3 linked regions of the Alligator mississippiensis genome follow. The protein of the gene in region 2 purifies or fractionates together with the protein of the main gene of each other region. This does not show direct contact. Links are inferred from orthologs where the notes say so. Each region holds a gene or a part of one and is shown on either strand. Other genes may lie near its edges. The genes, in order: PDRG1, PFDN4 and PFDN1.

Region 1 (7,247 bases), about 9.3 Mb from region 2:
GTTACCAGGGGCAGTGGAATCTGCCAAAGCAGCTGTGCAGTAGTCACAGCCACGTGCTCTAAAAGCTAGACAATACGTGACTTTTGCATTGAAGAGAACAGAGGTGTCACTGTTCCAGGAATATACTCCGCTCCTGGGTTTTGGGACACTGAACGTGGTTTCAGACCCTGTCACAATACCTTGCGCTTCAAACAGATGGTTGACCTTCACTCTCAGCTCTTTCCGAAGGGTGTTTATTTCCTCATCCAAGTGCTCCTGATCTGAGAAAGCAGCGACGGGAGTAATGAAACATTCTAGAATATCGTTTGAGAGCAACCAGCACCCCCCAAATTCACAGCTACTTCTGGCAAATCTATTCCAATCTGAACCTCCAGCACAGAGTGGGAAGCCTCTTCTCTTGCCTTCTCCGTGAATTCTTGGGGTCAGGAGGCTGGCTGCATCATACTGGTACATAAGAAACATAACCCTGTTCCGGTTCTCCCAGAAAATGCGCTTGCCAGATTCCCCCTTTCCAAGTAAGTATAATGAACTGGATGGCAGAGGTATGAGTCCATTTGTAATGCCAGCATGACCTTTGAACACGATGTGCCATCTCCAGGCTGGAAGCCAAACAGCTGGGTCTTCCGAGTAACGTACGTTTGGAGGGGCAGGTACTATCTTCCTGGGGACAGGGGAGGGAGGACAGATGCCTGTGCAGGCGTATATGAGCGTGCAGCTCCTAGAAGTCCAAGCTTCTGTGCTCCACCAAAATACTCACCTGTTTTCACAGGTGTTAAGGCCAGAGGGGCCCTTACATTACCCACTCTGGCCTCCGTAAAACACAGGCTGAGGAATTCCATCTGGTTACCTTTGTGCCGTTGTAAAACAAACCAACCAACCTTCAGTTTCAATGAATGCCCCTAGTTCCTCCTATCGTGAGAGGGAGTGAATACGAGTTCCTGATCTACCTTCTCGAGGCCATTCATTCATAGTTTTGTATCTTTTCATCACTCAGCTTTTCTACCAAGGCAAAGTATCTCAACCTCAAGAGGACAGCAAAGGTCCTCTTGATACTCATTTCTGAAGCCCCTCTACTTCTGCTGTATTCCCTCTACGAGGAAGTGACCAATGCAGCATAAAGTAGTTGGGTGAGTGTGTACCACCAACTTCCTGAATGGCATTCAGATATTTTCAGGGTTATTTCCCAACCCATTCTTCATGGAGTCTAACATCCCATTTGGGTTTCTCACAGCAAAGGCTTCCAAGACACTTCACAAGGAGGCCTGGGTCTTTCTTAGCAGCAGCAGCGTACAACCCACTACAAGGTAGGAAAAGACAAAGTGGCCCAGCCGTCAATCCAGTGAATACAAGCACTCCTGCGACACGGGACGCCCCACGTATGTATCCAAGGAGAGGCAGGAAAGGGAACGCAGCTTGCAAAATCACAAGCAAGTTGTCAGTCTGGCAGTGAACTTACCTTTCTGCATCATTTCTTTGGTCGTTGATTTTGGAAGCTGAATAAACATATTTCCAAAGCAGACCATCGCGTCACCTACAAAGAGAGAGGCAGCTTTTGTAAATAAACATTTTCCGAATGAAAACCGCTCCTCCCCGCACTCCTGCCAGGTGCACACCAAATGCAAAATTCAACAAACGGGCTAATTTTTGAAGGCCCCTTGATGCTCAACATCAGTCTGCAGCATCACTTAGGAGAGCGTCTACAGGCAATTAAATGTGATTCAGTCTCATAAGACCCGTGCAAGGGTGAGTTAGTCACCAAACAATCCACCCATGCACAGATGAACGCTGACTGCGCGCGGGCTTTATTTTGTTTCACCACTCAGAAATGAAGCAATATTTACTGTGGAGAGGAGGCTTTGCCTGCCACTTTGAAGTGCGGTTCTCGCCTGGAAGATGACTATAAAATATGAGTACGGGAGCGTACGAGTGATGTTGTAGCGGCGATGGTCCAGGGGTCATGCAAGAGGCAAGGATTTTGTAGGGCGATATTTTCTATCGGCTCAACTGCACGGCTGGGGTAGAGCCAGACGAGCTGCGACCACGGCCCCAAAGAAGAACGTCTTGCGTTTGAAAGCTTGTCTGACTCTATCCCAGCGACGCAGCTGGTGCAATACAAGAGATCACCCTAAGAAATTCTTGCCTCTCATATAAACCATATCCTTCCACATTTACCCTCTGTAAATTTAAAAAGCGTATTGCTTTCCTGCGAGCTCAACCCTAACTTGGGCGTTCGTGTCAACGTTGGCGTCCTTCTGCCTCGCCAAACGAAGCTTCGGTGAATTGTTCTGCGCATAAAAACTGCAGGGAAGTCGGGCTGGAAGGGACGGTCGGACCACGGGGTAAAACGCCTTCCTGACCCCAAATACGGCGTCGGTCGGCCTGGCGCAGAGGGGCGAGACCCGGCAGCCGGGACCTGCAGGTCAGCGGGAGCATCGGCACGGTGCAGCCGGGGCTGCGGGCGGCGCCAGCGCCTCGACCCCCGACACGTCACAGAACGGGGGTTGCCGGAGCCCGGTTTGGGGCAGTCCCGGCCTCGTCGCGCTCTTCCGTTCCCCGCGCCAGGGCGGCCGTCGCCTGGACAGCTCGCGCCGCCCGAGCCCTCACCGCCCCCGAGTCGCCGCGCTTCGTTCCTGCCCTCGGGAAAACACGGGGCCGTTCTCCCGAGGCCGAGAACCGACACAGCCGCGGCAGGCGACACGCGTTTAACGCAACGGCTGCCGGTGAACTGAGCGTTTGACGTGACGGCTGCCGGCTCGGCGCTCACCGTCGGGGTGCGGGTCCTTGTGCAGCGCACGCAGCGCCTCGCGGTTCCGGTTCCGCTTGACGTCCAGGTCCACGATCTGCGGGCAGAGGGCGGGGGAGGGGTGAGGCCCGGGGCGCGGGGCGTGGCCCGGGCCAGGGGGCGTGGCCTAGCCGGGGTGGGGGCGGTACCTGCTGCCGCGCCGCCAGCGTCTCCTCTGCCAGCACCTCCACCTCGGCCACGCAGCGCAGCACCGCCGCCGGTTCCCGCGCCATGGCGCCCGCCGGAAGTGCGCCCGCCCGGAAGTGCGCGCCGCCGGTCCGCCCGGAAGTGCGTCCTCCCGGAAACGCGGCCCCGCGCCCCAGGCCCGGCGCTGGGAAGGCCCGCCCCCACCAGGTGCCACCTGACCCGTGTGTCCCACGTGGGGGCGTACTTACCCCCCCAGGTGCCACGTGGGGCTGTGTCCTGGTCCTGCGTGGGGCGCCACGTGGGGGTGTTGCTAGACCCCCCCTCCCACTTCCCGCGTGGGCCTGTAAATCCCCTCTTCTGCCCCCCCCGGCCCCCCCGCAGCAGTGAGGCCCCGTGGCCGAGCTGCACCCGTGGGCGGTGGACGGGGCGCAACGTGGCCACCCAGGGATGCCGGGTGCACGGGGGACGGCCATGGAGCCACCCGTGACCCCCCCGTGGGCAGGGTCTGGATCCGCCACACGCCACGCTGGCACAGCCCGTGTCCTCCCGCCGTCCGGCCCTCGCGGGATCGCGGACCGGCTCCCCGTGCTCCCAGACCCGGGCGCTGCTCGGAGGTACGTCCGCGCCGAGACGGAGTCCGCCGCGCCAGGCTCCGCTCAAGCAGGGGCCGGGGAGGTTTGCCTCGTGGAGACGAACCCACCTCTGTAGGTTTGCCCCCAGTTTGCCCCAGGGAAACGAACTGATGTGCATAGATTTGCCCCCAATTTGCCCCATGGAAACAAACTGACACCTGTAGGTTTGCCCCCGGTTTGCCCCGTGGAGACGAACCAACGTGTGTAGATTTGACCCCATTTTGCCCCATGGAGACGAACTGATGTGCATAGATTTGCCCCCGGTTTACCCCATGGAGATGAACCAATGTATGTAGATTTGCCCCTGGTTTGCCCCATGGAGACGAACTGATATGTGTAGATTTGCCCCCAGTTTCCCCACGGAGACGAACCGATATGTGTAGATTTGCCCCCGGTTTCCCCATGGAGACGAACCGATGCACATAGATTTACCCCCATTTTGCCCCATGGAGACAAACTGATGTGCATAGATTTGCCCCCGGTTTGCCCCATGGAGATGAACCAATGTATGTAGATTTGCCCCTAGTTTGCCCCATGGAAACAAACTGACGTGTGTAGATTTGCCCTGGGTTGCCCCATGGAGATGAACTGATATGTGTAGATTTGCCCCCAGTTTCCCCACGGAGACGAACCGATATGTGTAGATTTGCCCCCGGTTTCCCAATGGAGACGAACCGATGCACATAGATTTACCCCCAATTTGCCCCATGGAAACAAACTGACACCTGTAGGTTTGCCCCTGGTTTGCCCCATGGAGACGAACCAACGTGTGTAGATTTGCCCCCATTTTGCCCCATGAAGATGAACTGATGCGCGTAGATTTGCCCCCAGTTTGCCCCATGGAAACGAACTGATGTGCATAGATTTGCCCCATGGAGACTAACCAATGTATGTAGATTTGCCCTGGGTTGCCCCATGGAGACGAACTGATATGTGTAGATTTGCCCCCGGTTTCCCCATGGAGACGCACCAATGTCTGTGGCTAGATCTCTCTATCTAGACGCAAGATCCATGGCACAAGCTCTCGTGGGCTGCAGCTCGCTTCATCCGATGCAGCGAAAGGACGTGCCCAGAGCAGCATATAAGGAGAGAGAAATTGCAATACCAAAGACAAAGCCGGGGAAAGTGGAGCAATGGTGGGGGAAGCAAACAGGCAGTAAACCCGCAGGAGCAAAGGGGTCACAAAACCTAATCCGGGTAATGGGATAAGCATCCGTGGTCCCTGTCTAAACCACCCCGTACAGTCCATCTGTAGGGGTTTCTTGTCCTGCACGGTTGACTCACACTGAGCTGTAGCTCTGGCGGTCAGGCGCACAAAGGCCCGTGCCCCCTGCCAAACAGAGCAGCCTTGGCACGAGCCCCGAGTGCGGACGTGGTGCTTTTTCTAGTGGTATTTTTCCACTGGTAGAAACGTTTGCCTACCAGACGACTGTGCCTAGGTGTTCGCACCTGAATATTTCGATCTCTGTTGGGGGCCGCTCAAAGGCCACATGCCAGGGGTGTTCCCGTGTGCGGGGAGGGAGCCGCGCTTGTACGGCAAGAATCCCTGGAAGCAAAATCAATACCTTCTAGAGAATTCACGGCCAAAGAGACGACGGTTGAGGAAGGAAGCCTCTCATTCTGAAATCCGTAATGGCAGTATAAAGAAGTATTGCTTGGCATGGGAGGCTAAGCACTGGCTCAGGTATTTGCTTGGGGTAAAGCCTATTAAGCACCCTTTTCCCTTTTTCCATCTGTCTGCCCATTGCCTGCATGCCCCTTTTGTTGCCAGAATCCCCGGTGATGGATTATTTGCTGCAAAAATGACAGCTGAGGGTTTGGCATCTCCAGACACGGAGCTGTTCCTGTGGAAGTGAGTCAGCACCTGTTTTGATGAAGCAGCAATTCTGCTATGTGTGATGGAGTAAATTACATTAATGTAATTAAACAGGAGCCCTCGCTTCACAAGAAGCATCTGTTTAACGCACAGAAGCAATAAAAGTGAGGGATCAGGGCTTCTCGGAGACCCGTCTGTGCCAAGTCTCGGAGCGGTTGTCATTAAGATATTGAAGGCTCTTCTTGGCATTAAGGAACTACTTTAGCTGCTGCTGAAGTCTTCAAGATGATGCAGCTACACATAGGCTTGGCGCTTGGTTGTGGGCTGCAGAAGTTAAAAAGGTTTTGCCTAAGAAATGCATAAGAATATGCCTCTGAATGAATGTTCCTGATTGATTTGTGAGAGACTCTTTTTGCTCTGTTGGAAGTGACCGGCAGCGTCAGAATCCGCTCACGCGGTGCCAGGTTTCCTAGGGCCGGGAGAACAAACTGCTGGACGGGCGCAAAGCAGAGGGTGAGCACTTGTGTGTCCGTAAGGCCTCTAGACCACCGAGGGGGGATGAGGAGAATTAAAGGGGATGATGATGCTGTTGGAGGAAAGCTAAATGAATTCCTTGCAGCAGTCTTTGCTAAAGCAGATGATGAGGAAATTCCTATCCCCAGAGCATTCTTTACAGGAAATCACGGTACGGCATTAACAGAGCAAGAAGTCTCCGAGGAAGAGATTATGGAACAGCTCAAATAACTTGAGTGCAACGAATCTCTAGGACCAGATGGCGTTCGCACGAGAGTACTGAAGGAGCTGTAACGTGAGATTGCTCAGCTGTGGCTGAGGATCGGGGACCGATCCCTCACCGTGTCATTGCGTGCGCCGTACTGGCCCAAAAGAGATGAGCTGAAACTGTGTCGGGTGAAGAGCAGGGCTGCCAGGGCGGCTGGAGGAATGGAGAGCCTGCTTTGTGAGAGGAGACTGGTGGGTCGTAGCCTCAGGCTTCAGGGCTTCTGCTGGTCACCTGAAGGAGCAAGGAAGAGCTTGCCCCTCTCAGCTTTAAGCCCTGGACATTGGAGAGGTGGGAGATGGGGTGCTGGTGGCCCCGGAGGTATTGAGAGACCTCCCAGGTGCAAGGACCGCGGGGGTTGTGCCTGCCTCTAGCATGGGGCATGGTCAGCTGTCTAGGTCTATTTGAACATATCTTGTCCAAGAAATGGCCTGCCACTGCCATGGCAAAGGTCTCGGTGCTCCCGTTGTGTGTCCCGCTCCCATCCTGTGCCCGCAGTGGGGTTTTGGGGCAGGGGCTGCCCCAGATCTACAGTGTGGGAAAGGGCCTGGAGTGGATGTTGTGGATGCACAGCTGGCTGCCAGCATGTGCAGGGGCCCCATCTGGGATTTCCTAGCAGGTCCCTTCTAGTCCTGAACGCAGGCATTCCCCGGGTCCGGCTACCAAAGAGGAGCCACTGAGAACTGAAGAGCTGGGAGCCTCGTCCTAACTGTACCGGCAAACTCGGGCAGGCTTAAGGGTAGACCCTGATACTCTGACCCACTGGGAAGCTTTGGCCAAGCTATTAAAATAATGGCGGGAGGGGAAGAGGGCAGATACAATCGACCAGGATTTTTCAGACCCTTTTGACAAGGTTCTTCACAAGCGGTGCCCCAAGGTAGAAACCCTCAAGACAGGAGCGGAGAGGGCAGTCTTCAGAGTACAGTTAGGAGTAAAGCCATGGCAGGAAAAGAGGCGGCGGTGGTGACTGATGAGACTGATGATGGCATTTTAAGGTAGAAGGTCAAGGTTTCGAAATAGGCCAAGGAGTCCTTGGCTGCAGAGCGTACCGGGCCGGGAGGGGGCATTTCTGGTGTGTTGGTGTTACCAGCC
Region 2 (7,851 bases):
TCCACACAAGAGGGTTGTGCCAGCTAAGCTATGCGATACCAATAAAGCAGAGCAGCTTCAGTATATAAAGGCCTATGCTAACAATGCTTCATCTAGTTTAATTTATGAGAAGTGTAAAGCTTTATCTATGTTACAGTTTTGCCATGTTGGGTAAGGGTGTGACATGATCATGTCTTCCAGCTGATGTAGCTGTATGAACAACCCCTCCCCCCCAACACACACACACACACACACACACACACACACACACACACACACACACACACACACACACACACTTCCCATCCCAAAATCTGGGTGCAGAAAAGAGCATCTACTGTTTGGGGCAGTAGATTAGTTAAAATGGCAGAAAAATTCCTTCTGCCACCACATGCCACATTGCCAGTAGAAGGCTCTGATAAGTCAGCGTGCTCATGCCAGCTGCTGCCCTGCAATGCTGACAAGGCCCCAAGACTATCAAAATACAGTAAAGTGTATTTTAAATGCCATTTCCTCTCTGATTTTAATAAACCTTGTTTTAAGGTACTCTGCTATTATGTGAGTTTGAAGCCCAACACCTGAAGTCCAAAATTGGAAGTCCAAAACCATCCTTTTATTCTTAAGCAAAGACTTAGAATTAATTCTCTTCTCCCATTGAGTTGTGTTGCCAAAGACATCAACAAATGAGAAAAGGGAATTGTCCAAAGAAGTAGTAAGGAAATATGAGCTAAAGGGAAGTCTAGTAACAAATACTAAAGGGCAGATTGATAGAATGGGTCCCACCACGCACAAGGTGAAGCTAACCACATTTACAACAACAATGAAACAATAGTACAAGAAAGAGCAAGTCCCATTATGCAACTGGAAGAAAAATGAGGTGAGTGAGTTCAGGGAGTTTATTTTCTCCAACCACTGGAAACCCTTTCACACAGATTTCACTTTTATTTACATAAGTGAGAACTACAGAAAGTTACTCTTAGCAACACAAGCATACCACAAATCCTGCCTGAGCATGTGAGAGAAGAAGCTTTTATTCAAAGCCATCTCATTCTTACGAAATCCACTCCTTTTCCCTTGAAGAAAGTTAAACTGGCTCAGACAAAACTTGTATTATTAAGCTAATGCACCTGTAGAAATGACCATGGCCCAAATCATATCCTTTCACTTAAAAGTCTTTGGAGGGGAAAAGATAATTTAGGCACCCCCACGAAATTCCCCTTGTTGAGCACCTAGAGCCAGGAGGGTCACTGCCTACTGCAACAGTGAGGGGAGGGAGCAGATCCCACAGATGGGCAGAAACAGTTTTCCCATCCTGCAAATTGTTGAGATTCTGACATCTTTTCCTTATCTCCGATTATGACAAAAAGTTAAAAATCTCACAAATTGTTTGGTCTGAAAAAAAAGGAAAAATAATCCATTTTTTTTCAGTTTGGGTCACTTCAATGTTTTGGTTTATTTTTTTCTTTCCTTATTATTACAAATATTCTTCAATTTTCAAATAATTAGCCTCCCCAGAATTATCAGAACATTAAAATATTTTTTTTCAATAGTTTTAACAGTCCCCCTCCCAAACTGTTTTGGAGACAAGAGATGTGTTGAAATCACTCATTTTCTAGGCAACAGTTTCATTCAGATGAATCAGGGGTTTTGGAGAAAAAAACGTTTGCTTGATATATTTCCATGGTATTCCAGAACAAACAACATTTCAACATCTCCGACTTTTAGGATTTGTGAGGAGTGAGTGCCAAACCCACACATAATTAGACAAACTCATTGACTCCTTTGGTCTGACGGCTGTATTGTCTCTCCTCCCCACCCACCCATCACCAGTCAGAAGCTGCAGAGGAGGGTTGAGGTCACCAAGACCCATCTACTAGCTCTTGAGTAGACTCATATTTTCAGCTCGTCCAAAATTAATGTATCCTAACTGCACATTAGAATAGAACAACTTCTGGGAGCTGCCCCCTCGCCTCTCTGACCTTTAAAGCATTTTCAGTCTTTTATCTGTTGTTCACAGTGTACATCTCCTGTTAACTGGATTCATCTTTTAATGACCCTTTTGTGAAGTCAGCATGATTTTTGGGGCTGATGTATGGAGGTAGGACTCAGAAGCACAAAGGATCCCATTCCAAGGAAGTTGTCAGTGTTTTACATTAAACTGTTATCAGGTAGAAGACATACCGTTATGTATGATTTGAACAGTCTCTAGGGAGGTGAGATGTAGGTTTGAATCCTCTCATGCAGAGGATGGAAATGAGCTGGAGAGAAATCGGTACAACCTGGACTGCGCAGCCTGGAGAAGAGAAGACACAGAGGGGACTCGGTGGTAGCCTATAAGTATAACAGAGGCATTCATCAGGGCTTGGGGGAGCATCTGTTCACTAAGGCCCCCCAGGGGAGGACGAGAAATAATGGGCACAAACCAATTGAAGATTGCTTCAGGCTAGACATAAGGAAAAACTTCTTTACAAGTCGAATACCGAGGGTTTGGAACAGGCTTCCCCCAGAGGTGGTACAGATCCACCCTGGCGATCTTCAAAACACGTCTTGAACCCCATCTTGCTGGGGTCATCTGCCCCCAGCCGTCTTTCCTGCCTGAGTGCAGGGCAGCTGGACCCGAGGATCTGTAAGGTCCCTTCCAGCCCCTAACAACCATGAAACTTAGGTTTCCAGGTGTTCTAATCACCAGAGCAATATGGAAAATGGGGGTGGGCAGCTCTTGGACCTCCTCTGCCTGGGTTTGGAAAGGCAGGAGCAACCACTGCTTGGCTTTTCAAAGAAGGGTATAATGAAAGTGGAGAGGACATGACATGCAGCCTTCCGTGGTGTAAGCTACTTCACTCTGGGGTAAATTACCAGGAAGCAATATTGTCATGTGTCTGCTTCTTTACTCAATGTAATCCCAGATTAGTTGCTTGGTTGCTGCAAAGCAGTTCTCCACACCTAGCATTCAGGTGCTGTAACAGTAAGCAGCTAGCTTAAGGGAGCTTGTTGCATGTCTACTCCTTATTACTTTACCTTATTACCATACCTCCTTATTAGGATAAAGTATGTATAGTATGAATAGTAATTGTGTTGCATATCTGCACCCAGAGCATGCTGACTTTATGTAGCTCCCTGCTCGTCATGTTGCTTGATTCGGATCCCAGGCTGGGACACCTCGCTTTCTCAGTGCATTGTAACCAACGGGTGCCTGTAGAAGTGCAGGAAGACTGAAGTCTGCTGGAAAGCAGTAATTAGTGTGTCTCCAGCAGCCTTCATATCTTGTGTATCAGTGTTTGCTCGCTTCAACAGCTCGACAAGCTGTAGTGTCCCTGCCATGTTGAAGCATGGGGATGCTGGTACATGAGATGCTGCACGCGTAAAAACACCCAAGGTGTTTAACACAGTTCTGGATCTCATTCTGCAAACGAGGCACCCACAAGTGTGACACATGGTAGTCCCTAACTTTTAGATAATGTTTTGGATCTATCTCTTAAGTACTTTCTATGCCCATTAACATTAGTGCCTGGCAGAGGAAAGAAAGTTAAAATGCCATAGCATGTAGTATAATATAATTGCTATGGTTCACGCTGCTGGCTTGTTAGCATAGCTTCTGGAAAGCCAACTATAGAGACATTATTGTCACAAGCAGTACATTTCTAGGAAATGGCTCCATTTAATATTGGAGTATTTACTGTATTCCTTGGACATCAGTGGGAGCTGAGGATTTACTGCCAGGAGATGCTTGGTGGTTTGCAAGGCTTGGCGAGGAGTGGAGTATCCTGACCTCAGGCAAGCCTTGCTCTGGCTATTCTGTGTTGACAACCAATTTTGCAAAAACCTTTTCGTCAAGTGAGGTTCCCTGAGGACGAAGGCGGACCACACAGCTGCATTCACACAGGATCTGTTATGAATAGTAGGCAAGCAGTTTGCCATCTCTCCATCAAATGTCTCCGAGTCTTGGCAGGCTCCATGCACCAGCTCTGCTCCTCGGGGCGGGGGGGATCTGGAGACCAGGAATTACTGAAACCAAGTGCCAAGGGCTCGGGGAGGCCAGGCCTCTTCCTGCAGCGCCGTTGTGAAACCATCCGACTTGCCCAAGCTGTCACATAAATAAGCAGGCTGCTGCGCTGGGGAAATGCCAGCCGCAGACATGCCAGCCGCCAGGATTTCCCCAAGAGCCCATCCCTCTGTTTGAAGGAAATACGTATTAGTTGCTCTTGGGGAAGGATTTGGGGAAGTGTAACTCTCCCCCACCCCAAACTTCCTTCACCAAAAAGCTTCAGGGGGTCTTGCAGAGAAATCCTGGGCTGGTCCCAGCCTCTGCCACTGACTCCCTAGGGCGCTTGGGGCCAAATCCTTTCATCCCCTGTGCCCATTTCCCAGGGTTGACTGCTGGGGCCAAGGCACACTGTGGGATTCAATAGGGCTCAGTATAAATGATAAGATTAATACATATATATATATACACACACACATATACATATGTATATATATCCAAGACATAATGTGTGTGAGTGTGCATATATATATATATATATATATATAATGCACACACACATCTCCATATATGTATATAGATTCAAAACATTATACATTTCATTATACAGTTTAAAACATTATATAGATATAGGTCTATAGATATATATAACGTTTTAAACTGCATAATGAAATGCAAACCGCATAAGCAGCGCTGCGAGCCCCGCCAGGAGCCGCCGCCGCCGCCGCCCGCACTCCCGGGCTCATCCCGCCCCCTAGCGGCTGCTCCCTTTTCTGCCGACGGATCCTTCTCCTCAAGACATCCCCTTTAAGCGGACTGTACCACCGGCGCGGCCCAATGAGCGCATCCCCGCCGCGCCGCTTCCATTCCCCCTAAGAGTGCGTGTGGGGGGGGTGCATTAAAGGGGCGGGAGGCGCCGGTGCCCCACCCCGCGGGCGGGTGGCCCCGCCCTAAGATGGCTGCCACCATGAAGAAGGCGGTGAGTGAGGCCTCCTCCGGGCGTCCGGGCGGGCGGGAGGAACGCGGCGGTTTCCTGCGAGGTGCGCAGTGTGCGAGCGCCGCCGCAGCCGTTGTCCCCGGGGGGCCCGGGTCCGACACGGGGCTGCGGGCGGGGGGAGGCGGGGTTGCTGAGCGGCCCCGGGGCGGCGCGTGGGGCTGCCGGGGCGACCCGGGCAGGGGTCGCACACTGTACAGCCCCGCAGCTGTAGCTTCGCCCTCTCTCCCTGAGCAGGCTGCGGAGGATGTCAACGTGACCTTCGAAGATCAACAGAAAATTAACAAATTTGCCCGAAATACCAGCAGGATCACGGAGCTGAAAGAAGAAATAGAAGTGAAAAAGGTACGCGGCTCCACAGCACACGTGGCGGAGACGTTTAGGTTTGGGGTTGGGGTCGGGGTCTGGAGTCGCGGGTACGGGAAAGCAAAAGGACGTTGCTTCTGCATTGGGCGTTAAAGTTGACTTCGTGCCATCTTAAAATACTGTGCGGGTATTGCGATAAAAGTATCGCCTACGCAGATCCTGGACCATCGCAGCTACGACGACACCTCTCCAATGCTAGAGGAAAATACGCTTGTTTAAGTTTACTTACTACCCTGTGTTTTCTGAGACGGTATCTGTTTCACGTCTCTCGGTGTCGCTGTCGTCCCAGATTTGAAATACTAATTCTGCGTTGGTATTGCACAGGCTGCCCCTCATTTCAGGGATGCTAACACCAGTCAGTCTCTGGGCTATCCAGAAGTGTTACACATTTTCCTCCTTGACGCTCTTTTAAAATTAAAAAAGTGTATTGGCAGTGCCTCCCAACTACATTATGCGTAGATTTGACTAGCAGAACCCTTGTTTGTTATACAAATTAATAGTTTCACAGGAGTTAGGGGTCAGAAGGGACCTGAACAGATCATCTATTCTAACACCCCCCCCCCCCCAGCAGGAGCACACGCTGGGCTTACACGACCCCAGGCAGGTGTTCGTCCAACTTCTTTTTGAACTCGCCCAAGGTAGGAGCGAGGACCACTTCCCTGGGAAGTTGGTTCCAGATCCTAGCCACCGTAACAGTGAAATATTGCCTCCTGATCTCTAACCTGAACCTATTCTCCAGCAGCTTCTGGCCATTGTTCCTCGTCATCCCAGGTGGTGCTGGGGGGAATAGGGCCTTTCCTATTTGCTCTTGATCTCCCCTGATGAGTTTGTAGGCAGCCGTCAGGTCCCCCCTCAGCCTCCTCTTGCTGAGGCTGAACAGGTTCAGGTCCCTGAGCCTCTCCTCATAGGGCCTGCCCTGTTGCCTTCCAACCAAGCAGGTGGCCCTTTTCTGAACCCTCCCAAGGCAGGCCACATCCTTCTTAAAGTGCGGTGCCCAGAACTGGACGCAGTACTCCAATTGAGGCCGGACCAATGTCATGTAGAGGGGGAGTATCACCTCTCTGGACCAGCTTGAGATGCACCTTTGGATGCACGACAAGGTGCGGTTGGCTTTGCTGGCTGCGGTCTGGCATTGGCGGCTCAAGTTCATCTTGGAGTCAATAATGACTCCAAGATCCCTTTCTGCCTCTGCTCACAAGGGGGGAGCTTCCCAGCTTGTATGTATGCTGTGGATTGCTTCTCCCCAGGTGCAGCACCCTGCATTCATTGAACTCCATCCTATTATCATCCACCCACTTCTGTAGTCTGTCTAAATCTAATTGCAGCCTCTCTCCCTTTGAGTGTGCCTACCTCTCTCCACATCTTGGTGTCATCGGCAAACTTGGACAACGTGTTTTCCACCCCCTCGTCCAAGTCGCTGATGAAGATGTTGAACAGTGTGGGCCCCAGGACCGAGCCCTGGGAGGCCCCACTATTCACATCTCGCCAGGTCAAGTACGACCCATCCACTACCACTCTCTGGGTGTGCCCCATCAGCCAATTTTTGATCCATCCAGCTGTGTAGGCATCAATGCCACAGTCACTCAATTTATTAATGAGAATGGGGTGAGAGACAGTGTCAAAGGCCTTCTTAAAATTCGGAAAGACTACGTCCACGGGAACACCATCATCCAGGGATTTAATTACCTGGTCATAAAAGGCCGTCAGGTTGGTCTGGCAGGACCTGCCTTTGATGAACCCATGTTGAATACATAGAATCAAGCTCAATAATACTAAAATCAGTAGTTGAAAAACTTGACTCAAAAGCTTTCTTCCAGTCTGGTAGGTCTTACTTTGATGAAACTGTCACTCATTTAGCCAGCTCATAACACACTTTATGATTCTTGCACCAAACCCCAACTTCTCCAGTTTAACTCATCGTTTCCTGTGTGACACTGTGTTCAGGGAGTTTGAAATTCCAGTGTTTCCTATGTCTAGGAAATAGATTACCATAGAAAGATATTGAGTATCTTGTGTAGATTTGCGCTAGTGCAATTCCATTGAAACTAATGGGGTTACAGTGTTAATATGATACTAAAGTTAAACATATTTGTAAAGAGTGTATTGCAAAGCTCAACTAGCTTGTTAATCCATTTATTTATTTATTTATTTATTTATGTATTTTGTAATAACTGATGGGGAAAAAGCAACAGCTTTCTTACTGTGTCTTGACTATAGAAACAACTTCACAATTTGGAGGATGCATGTGATGACACTATGATGCTCGATGATGATGATTCACTCCTGATACCGTATCAGATTGGAGATGTCTTCATCAGCCATTCCCAAGAGGAGACACAAGAGATGTTGGAAGAAGCAAAGGTTTGTGAGGGAGAGGGAGTTTTGTGTCGTCTTGATGCTACAGTAAGAAATAGAGATCAGTATTCCTGGAGAATGGATGGAGTGTCATGAGCAGGTTTCTCTTTCTGCATACCCTTGCTGTGACAGGGTGCAGGATCTGTCCTAGTCTGAAACTGGTTAAATTTGGCAC
Region 3 (7,620 bases), about 32 Mb from region 2:
AAAACATGAAAAACCATGCTGTAGGCTAGGCATTTGCCAGGGTCATAGCATCTAGTGCTCTTCCTTGTGTAGACAACCCCCCTCCCCCATTATAACATAGCTGAATTATGTCCGTGTTTAAACCTGGTTACTTTGGCAGTTTAGCCTGGACTACACCTTTTATACAGACAGTTTTAATTTTCCTCTAATTCTTCTCTGAACTGTAATTATTCTTACACCAAGCACAGCATGAAGCCTGATCTTTTTTTGTAAATCTTACTGACAGATTCTAAGCAATTCATACCTAGGATATGCTCAGTTCATGATCAGTGACTCCAGTATTGGGGAATTGTTTTGAAGGTCTGACTTCTAAGATCCTGCTTTGATCTCTTTTTAAATAGAGATGTCCCAATTGTTCTCGCTAACCACTAGTCACCACTGGTTCAAGTTACAAATCAGAACTAGGGGTATTTTAATTTTAGCTTCTTTGTCTCAAAGTCCGTGACAACCTTATTATGATCACATCAAGTCTAACAAGTTAAGTATTTGGTTAATACTTTGATGGGAGAGCTCCAAGGAAAACTCTGGTACTATAGGAAATGATGTGATTCATTACCAGGCACTCTTTCCTCTGAGTCAGTGTTAAATCCATTATAGTGCTAGGGGTTACCATGCAGTTGGAAACAACCATCTTTTGGATAAGACATTAACCTGAAACCCTAACCACTGGTAATTAAAGATCTCTTTGTCCTTTTTTACCATTCTAGGAGTAATAACACTACCTTCCTCATTGAAATACAACATATGCAGTTCTGACAATGCCTCTTAAGATTCTTTCTGGAATTTCAATTGGACTTCATATTCTTCCTGACCATAAATTGCTGCTATGCAGTGTTAACAGCTCCAACTTTTCTCTGCAAAAATGGCTACATTTCAGTAAAGGCTGAAATGACTCTGTCCTCCTTTGTAAAGCACTTCTGTGTCTGGATGACAGGCCTTGTATAACTGCAAAGTATTATTAATAATCATCAGTCTGGCTCTGTTTTTAGCTCCTGTTACTACTTTTTGAACTGTTCCTTTTTGAACTGCATTCTTTTGGTCTTAGGGATCTTTTCTGTGGGTCTGGCTGGTTGCCCTCACTTTTCCTGGTGAGTAATCAGACAAACAGCCCACATTCACATGCCATTCTGCCCTGTGTCTGTTACACAGCTACAGATCAGCAGATACAAATATTAAGTCTTTTGAAATGTTGATTTGCTTATAAAGTACCAGCATTCCAGCTAGGAGCAGCCTTGTTGGCATTTGTCAGCTATAACTCACTTCCTCACTCTGCATATTTTGGGGAGTATTTTACCTGGTTACCATCCTGCATGAAAAAGCAATTTTGTAGTTCACAGCATTTAAACAAAGCAGATCTGTTCCTCAGAACAAAGGAGCTGTTTTATAGGATTCTTTGTGTTGCATTATCACCTTTAGTCAGTTTCTAGTGGCTGACTTGGGGTTGATTTCAGGACACTGTCACTCTACCTTGCCACGCGAGCCCTTAAATTTGCTTCCTTAGCTTAGTTCCCCACTGAGCTCGAGGTGACATACCCCAGTAACCTCCAGTAAGCACCACACGTACTGCAATTATACTGTTTTATAAGATCATTTTGGCCCATCACTGCAGAATTCTGTAGTGTACTGGTGCCAAGGGAAGGCTATGAAGGAAATGGCTGTTCTTCATTGGCAGGTTTTTAAAATCCCTAGTTTTTGCAGCTTTACTGAAGGGGAAAAGTGCTAAACCAGTGGTGTTCAATCTTTTCATGCCACGGGCCAGATGGGCAGTGCCAAGTCCTTCCATGGGCTGGATCTGCCTGGTGGGCCTGATCTGACTGTAGGGGTTGTGCATCCTGACCCTGATCCATCCACACAGGGCAAAGGCAGTGCAGAGCAGCCCCTGTCTGGATATGCAGGGGGGGACAGAGCAGCCCTGAAGGTAGAGAAGTAATCTGGGCTTGCAGGGGGGTGGGGGTTGGGGTGGGGGCTGGTGAGCAGCTTGGTCCCAGTCCAGATGTTGGTGGGGTAGGGAGAAGGGCAGAAACCTGGCTCTGATTGGACATGTTGTGGAGCACAGCCTAGCAGTCCCAAACTGGACATGTGGGTGGGTGGGTGGGAGGGAGCAGCCTGGGTCAATTTGGATGTACAGGGGGCCATCCCAGTCCTGTCCCCGCTTTGCTGCAATGGCCAAGCAAGGCTGGAACCCGGTGTGTGAAGCTTCCACTGCTCCCCACTGCCAAGTTTTCCAACCCATGAGAGCCCCATGGGTTGGATGTCATGGCTCCATGGGCCAGATTTGCCCCACAGGCTGGAGGTTGAGGACCCCTGTGCTAGGTTATGAACAAAGCAGGCTGCTTACACACAAAAAAGGGTGAGTAAAGCAGCACAGGACAAACTCTCCCACTCAATGGTGCCAATGTATCTCAGCCCTGAGCTGGAGAGACTGCACAGTGTGTAATCCCTGTGATTTATTCAATTCCTGGCTCTATTCAGAGATTGCCAGTAAAATTAACGTTTTTTATGTGGGGTAGTGATAGTTTCTTTGAGATGGACACCTGTCCACAGGGAACTGGACCAAGACTGCCCTGCTTTTTAAAAATAGGAAGCATTTGCTGGCAACCAGCATCAGTTGGAGCTCTTTTCAATGAAGCCAAATAGCAACAAATTTTAAGTTAAGGCAAATACTTCTTTAATGAAACATCACATTAACCTATGGAACTCATTGGTACAAGTAGCTCAGTAAATTTCCCATGTAAAAAGGAATACTGTATGCAAATAATATTTGCAATTATGTTATGTTAAAATTACAACTGTTAGTGCTCATGTTTCAGGGTGTGACAATCACTGCCTGGTCAGGATTACATTTTTCCCAGTGCTGTAGTACTACACAAATGGAAAGTGCACTACGTGGGCTTCATGCCTTCCCTTGTTTGACATATGAGAACCTAGGTACACGGATGGATCAGTACTAACCACTGCTTCCAGTAAATTCAAGGAAAGTCACTAGAGCTCAGAACCATTCTGGTTTAGCCTACATACCCAAAGCACTGCACCACCCCACTCACGAATGTGAAACAAACTGTACCAAACTGGCCCCTATATCTCACCTGCTCTCTGTGACTACAAGTCCTCTGTGACCGCATGATCCTTCACTTTTGTCTCATTCTATGGGACACAGAACCATGTTCAAACTTCCAAAGAGAATTAAAACACAAAACCCCGGCATATTGGTCACTAGCGAGTGGATCTGAATTTCTTATCAAATTCATTTCCCTCAGCAAAGGCTTTTTCGTTCCTTTTGATTTACCCACTCTGTCATTTAAGACATTTCTGGTTTGTCTAAGGCAGAAAATGGTCCCTTTGATGCCAACCGTAAAACTCACGCTGACTTCAATGGGAGCAGAAATAATAACCCCTTGGACTTTCTGCTCCTCAGGCAGCGATCTAATCTTCACATTGGCTGATACAACCCTACACATGTATGGCATAATACACTCATTAATAATTACATGTACAATCATATGATACCACTTCTGGGCCCTGGTTGGTTGATGAACGTGATACATACCCAGAAATAGATACCATTTTTGTTACTCGCCTGTCTCAAGGGTATAACAGCATATTTCAATAAGCAATTGCATATTTTCTAAGTCCACAGCGCATGGACAGTAGCAGCTCAAGCTTTGGCCCGGCCCCATACTCAAATCCAAGAAAAAAGCAATTTTTCTCTTTCTGATGTCTGTGTGCACGTATGATTGTGTGGAGATGGCAAGTAAGGCTATGGGAGCAAAGGAAGGGTTTTTCTTTGCTTATCTACAAGGGTTCTAAAAGCCCTGCTCTTCCTGGTATTGGACTAATATTTACTGAACCATAATTTCCTTGGATCAGTCCATATCTTTTTAAAAAATAGATACTATTTTTGTTACTTGCCTGTCTCAAGGGTATAGCAGCGTATTTCAATAAGCAATTGCATATTTTCTAAGTCCACAGTCCAGAGTGCACAAACATCCTCTGTTTTATTGTCTGCTTACTTGCTACACTACACAATTTGTTCATTTGCCAGGAATCCCACCGCTGTTAGCAGCACCGAGCCAGGGTTGGGTCTACCACAGAAACAATCCTGCAGTGGTCCGGGCGCGAGCACAGGCTCGGCTCCTTGGGGACACGCAGCGCTGCCCTTGGGCTTCAGGGGCTCCACGCTGATGGCCACCAGGAAAGACTCTGCTTCAGTGCACAGGGCAGGACCCGAGCTGCAAGCAGGCCAGGATCTGGCCTTAACCCCTGCGGCTGCTGCTGCGGAGAGCGCTGCAGGCCCAGGTCACTGCTAGGTCGCCTGTAGCTAAGTCACACCGCAGAAAGCAGCGGGAGCAGGTGCAGGGCGGGGCGCTCAGCCGCTCCCGCACCTGGCGAGTGAGTAGAGAGCCGGGGCCGGGGCCGGGGCCGGGGCCGCGCTGATGGGCGAAAACCTCCACCTCACGCCCGCGCTGCGCCAGCAGCTCCTGGACCTGATACGCGGCCCCGCCCAGCTCCGAGCGGGGGCGGAGCTCGGCCTTGCTCCTCTCTCGGCCGGGGACAGGCTGTAGTAGACTTGGGCTCAGCGACCCTCACTGCGCAGGCGCGCGGACCCCAGACACGCGGCTGCACCGCGCAGGCGCAGGCAATATGGCGGCGCCTGTGGACCTGGAGCTGAAGAAGGTAGCGGCGCCGCGGCAGGGTCCGTCCTGCTCCTCCCGGTTGGCCCATGGTGGGGGAGGCTGCCTGCGAGGGGGCGCTCGCCCCGGCAGGAGTCGTCCGTCCTCTTCTGTCCCCTCCCCTCCCCTGGCGCAGCCTGTGCGAGGCTGCGGAGCGCTGCAGGCGGGCGGGGGCGGCCTGGGCTCGCGGGCCGGTGTCGGAGCAGCGCTGGGTCCTGGCCTGCGGGCTCGCGGCTGCCGCTGCGATTTCTGAGGGGAAAGGAAACCGCTGCGGCGCAGAGCCTGGCCCTGTTCCCCCCGGCCCTGACTGCTTCTCCCGCGCTTCTCCCTTAGGCTTTTACTGAGCTGCAGGCCAAGGTCATTGACACTCAGCAGAAGGTGAAGCTGGCAGATATGCAGATAGAACAGTTGAACAGGACAAAAAAGCACGCGCACCTCACGGACACTGAGATTATGACGCTGGTGGACGAGACACGCATGTATGAAGGTGTAGGAAGAATGTGAGTAACTTCTTTTGCAGATGAAGAAGTTAGGCATGAGTTAAAGGGTCTTGTCCTTCAAGCCTGCTGGAACCTATTGTTTTTTTGACTTGGATTGCTTTTAGGCTTGCTTCTTTCCATAGGTGACAGTGAACAATCAGGAATATGCATATGTTAGTTGCTCTCTGTCAGATCTTATCTGCTTTATTTAGCCACATCCAAGACAACTTTGAATTTAAGATGACCCCTCCCCTCAGTACTTTGATTCTGTACATGGAAAATTATAAATTTGTTGTAGTTCTGCCCCCCCCATGTAGACTCTCTTTATGGGAGGATCATCTTAATCCTCTTCCCCCCCCATCCCCCACACATGCACACCTCCATTTCTGTGGCAGGGAAAAGCAGCAGTCAGGAGACAAATGGTGGTAGGGAAAGTAATTGGGAAGGGGAGGGATAACAGGCTTCGTACCCACCTGCACTTGTCTCCTTGCCACTTCCCCTATGCGGTGATTCTGGCTCCAGTTCTGGCCCAGGACATGGAGCACACAGTGGCTCTGGCCCTGGCCTGGCCCAGTGGTGGCAGTAGCAACTCTGGCCCCTTGCCTGAGTCAGGGCTGGAGCCACCAGCACCCCTGGTGCTGAGTGTTCTCCCCTGTATGCTCCTCCAGGTTGTACACCTTGAGGCTTACCATTTACCCACTCCACTGTTGCACAAGCTACCCCAGCCTGACAGCAGGGCAGTAGCAGCTCAAGCTTTGGCCCAGCCCCATACTCAAATCCAAGAAAAAAGCAATTTTTCCCTTTCTGAAGTCTGTGTGCACATATGATTGTGTGGAGATGGCAAGTAAGGTTATGGGAGCCCAGCAAAGGAACCGTTTTTCTTTGCTTGTCTACAAAGGTTGTAAAAGCTCCGCTCTTCATGGTATTGGACTAATATTTACTGAACCATAATTTCCTTGGATCAGTCAGTATATTTAAAAAAAAATAGATACCATTTTTTGTTACTTGCCTGTCTCAAGGGTATAATAGCGTATTTCAATAAGCAGTTGCATAGTTTTGTTTGCCAGCTTCACTCATGCAAGTTCACAATTGCATTTAGGGTTTCATGAAATTTATAATCTCTACCAGCACAGTTGGTAAATACCTCATGAACACTAATTGCAAAATACAAATTTGTGAGAAGTTTATATAAGCCTGTCCAACTCTAGTGAAGTTCTTTATGTTGATGCTATATGGAGGGAATCACAATTGTTAATCTAATCCTTGCATTCATGGCCTATATTTTTGCAAAAGCTATAAAATTGCATCCTGCTTATTAGCATGATAATTAATATATATGAAAGATTTATTTTTCTAGAATTTTTTGAAAGAATATATGGAGTGCAGTTTGTGCCAGAATGTATGATCTGCCCAGGTGTGCTGGGTTGGAAAGAAGGAAAGTATAATCTCTATATATTGGAATGACTTCAAAACCAACAAAGCTTAATTTAAGCTAATGCATGTTTTGATGAAACTCTAACAATGTACTTCTGTTGTTGTGATCACACCACCTTCATAAAAGATTCCCCAACTGATTTGAGTTGATAATGCAGCTGGGTATGTATACAGGGGTGTAGGTTGTAGCCGTGTTGGTCTAAGGACATAGGCAGACAAGGTTTCTTGGGTGACTCTGATTATCTTTTATTAGACCAACCCAAATAGTTGGAAAATAATTATTAAGCAAGCTTTCGGGTTCAAAAACCCTTCGTCAGGCTAAGGAAGTTTCAGCAGTTAGTGTGTGCTCTTCCATCCAGGAAGAGCGCATACCAACTGCTGAAACTTCCTTAGCTTGACGAAAGGTTTTTGAACCCGAAAGCTTGCTTAATAATTATTTTCCAACTATTTGGGTTGGTCTAATAAAAGATATCAGAGTCACCCAAGAAACCTTGTCTGCTGGGTATGTATCGCATTCACAGAAGTTTAGTGCTGGAAGGTGTCACAACCCAAGGGTGTGATTTTTTGTTTGTGTGTGCTTTGGCACCGCTGAATTATTTTCCCGCCGTTTGAAGCTTTCTTTGCAGGGTGCATTTCTTCTTTGCAGCATAGAAATGCATGTTGCAAGGAGTTCCTGCCATTTGTATTTAAATTCGTGCCCCACTATTGGTCAGTTCTAAATTATTCCCACGTGGCGGCTAGCAATTGGCTTGCTGGCCGTATAAGAGGCTTGGGTGGTTTCTGCCCTAGTTGGAGAACTTCGAGCATGCTGCAGAGTGCCTCTACGGAGATTTGACCTGCGGCTGGCTGATTGATAGACTGATCACCTATCGATTCTTCTCCCCATCGCCGAGCGCAATCCTCGACGTATCCCTCTTTCCTGCGTGCAAAAAGTTCCACGGAGCCTCGACAACTTCGTGTGAGTCAGAGTTTTGTCCGAGTCCTTAACATAGGGATTT

What was found.
Region 1: the proteins of PFDN4 (region 2) and PDRG1 purify together in Homo sapiens (co-immunoprecipitation; 3 studies listed by BioGRID and IntAct, counting the BioPlex papers as one, with this or other methods). This does not show direct contact. The link is inferred for Alligator mississippiensis from reciprocal best matches to the Homo sapiens genes PFDN4 and PDRG1.
Region 3: the proteins of PFDN4 (region 2) and PFDN1 purify together in Homo sapiens (affinity purification with mass spectrometry; 5 studies listed by BioGRID and IntAct, counting the BioPlex papers as one, with this or other methods). This does not show direct contact. The link is inferred for Alligator mississippiensis from reciprocal best matches to the Homo sapiens genes PFDN4 and PFDN1.

Annotation. Positions count from the first base shown.
Region 1 is NC_081832.1:1,555,305-1,562,551, reverse strand, and holds the start of PDRG1 (p53 and DNA damage-regulated protein 1), read right to left. Parts: upstream 3,047-7,247; 5' UTR 3,016-3,046; coding exon 2,932-3,015; intron 2,841-2,931; coding exon 2,765-2,840; intron 1,532-2,764; coding exon 1,457-1,531; intron 261-1,456; coding exon 180-260; intron 1-179. Other genes in the region: XKR7 (XK-related protein 7), read left to right, coding at 3,377-3,543. UniProt on the Homo sapiens protein: May play a role in chaperone-mediated protein folding.
Region 2 is NC_081832.1:10,888,887-10,896,737, reverse strand, and holds the start of PFDN4 (prefoldin subunit 4), read left to right. Parts: upstream 1-4,835; 5' UTR 4,836-4,916; coding exon 4,917-4,940; intron 4,941-5,192; coding exon 5,193-5,300; intron 5,301-7,538; coding exon 7,539-7,682; intron 7,683-7,851. UniProt on the Homo sapiens protein: Binds specifically to cytosolic chaperonin (c-CPN) and transfers target proteins to it. Binds to nascent polypeptide chain and promotes folding in an environment in which there are many competing pathways for nonnative proteins.
Region 3 is NC_081832.1:43,034,941-43,042,560, forward strand, and holds the start of PFDN1 (prefoldin subunit 1), read left to right. Parts: upstream 1-4,607; 5' UTR 4,608-4,680; coding exon 4,681-4,713; intron 4,714-5,042; coding exon 5,043-5,209; intron 5,210-7,620. UniProt on the Homo sapiens protein: Binds specifically to cytosolic chaperonin (c-CPN) and transfers target proteins to it. Binds to nascent polypeptide chain and promotes folding in an environment in which there are many competing pathways for nonnative proteins.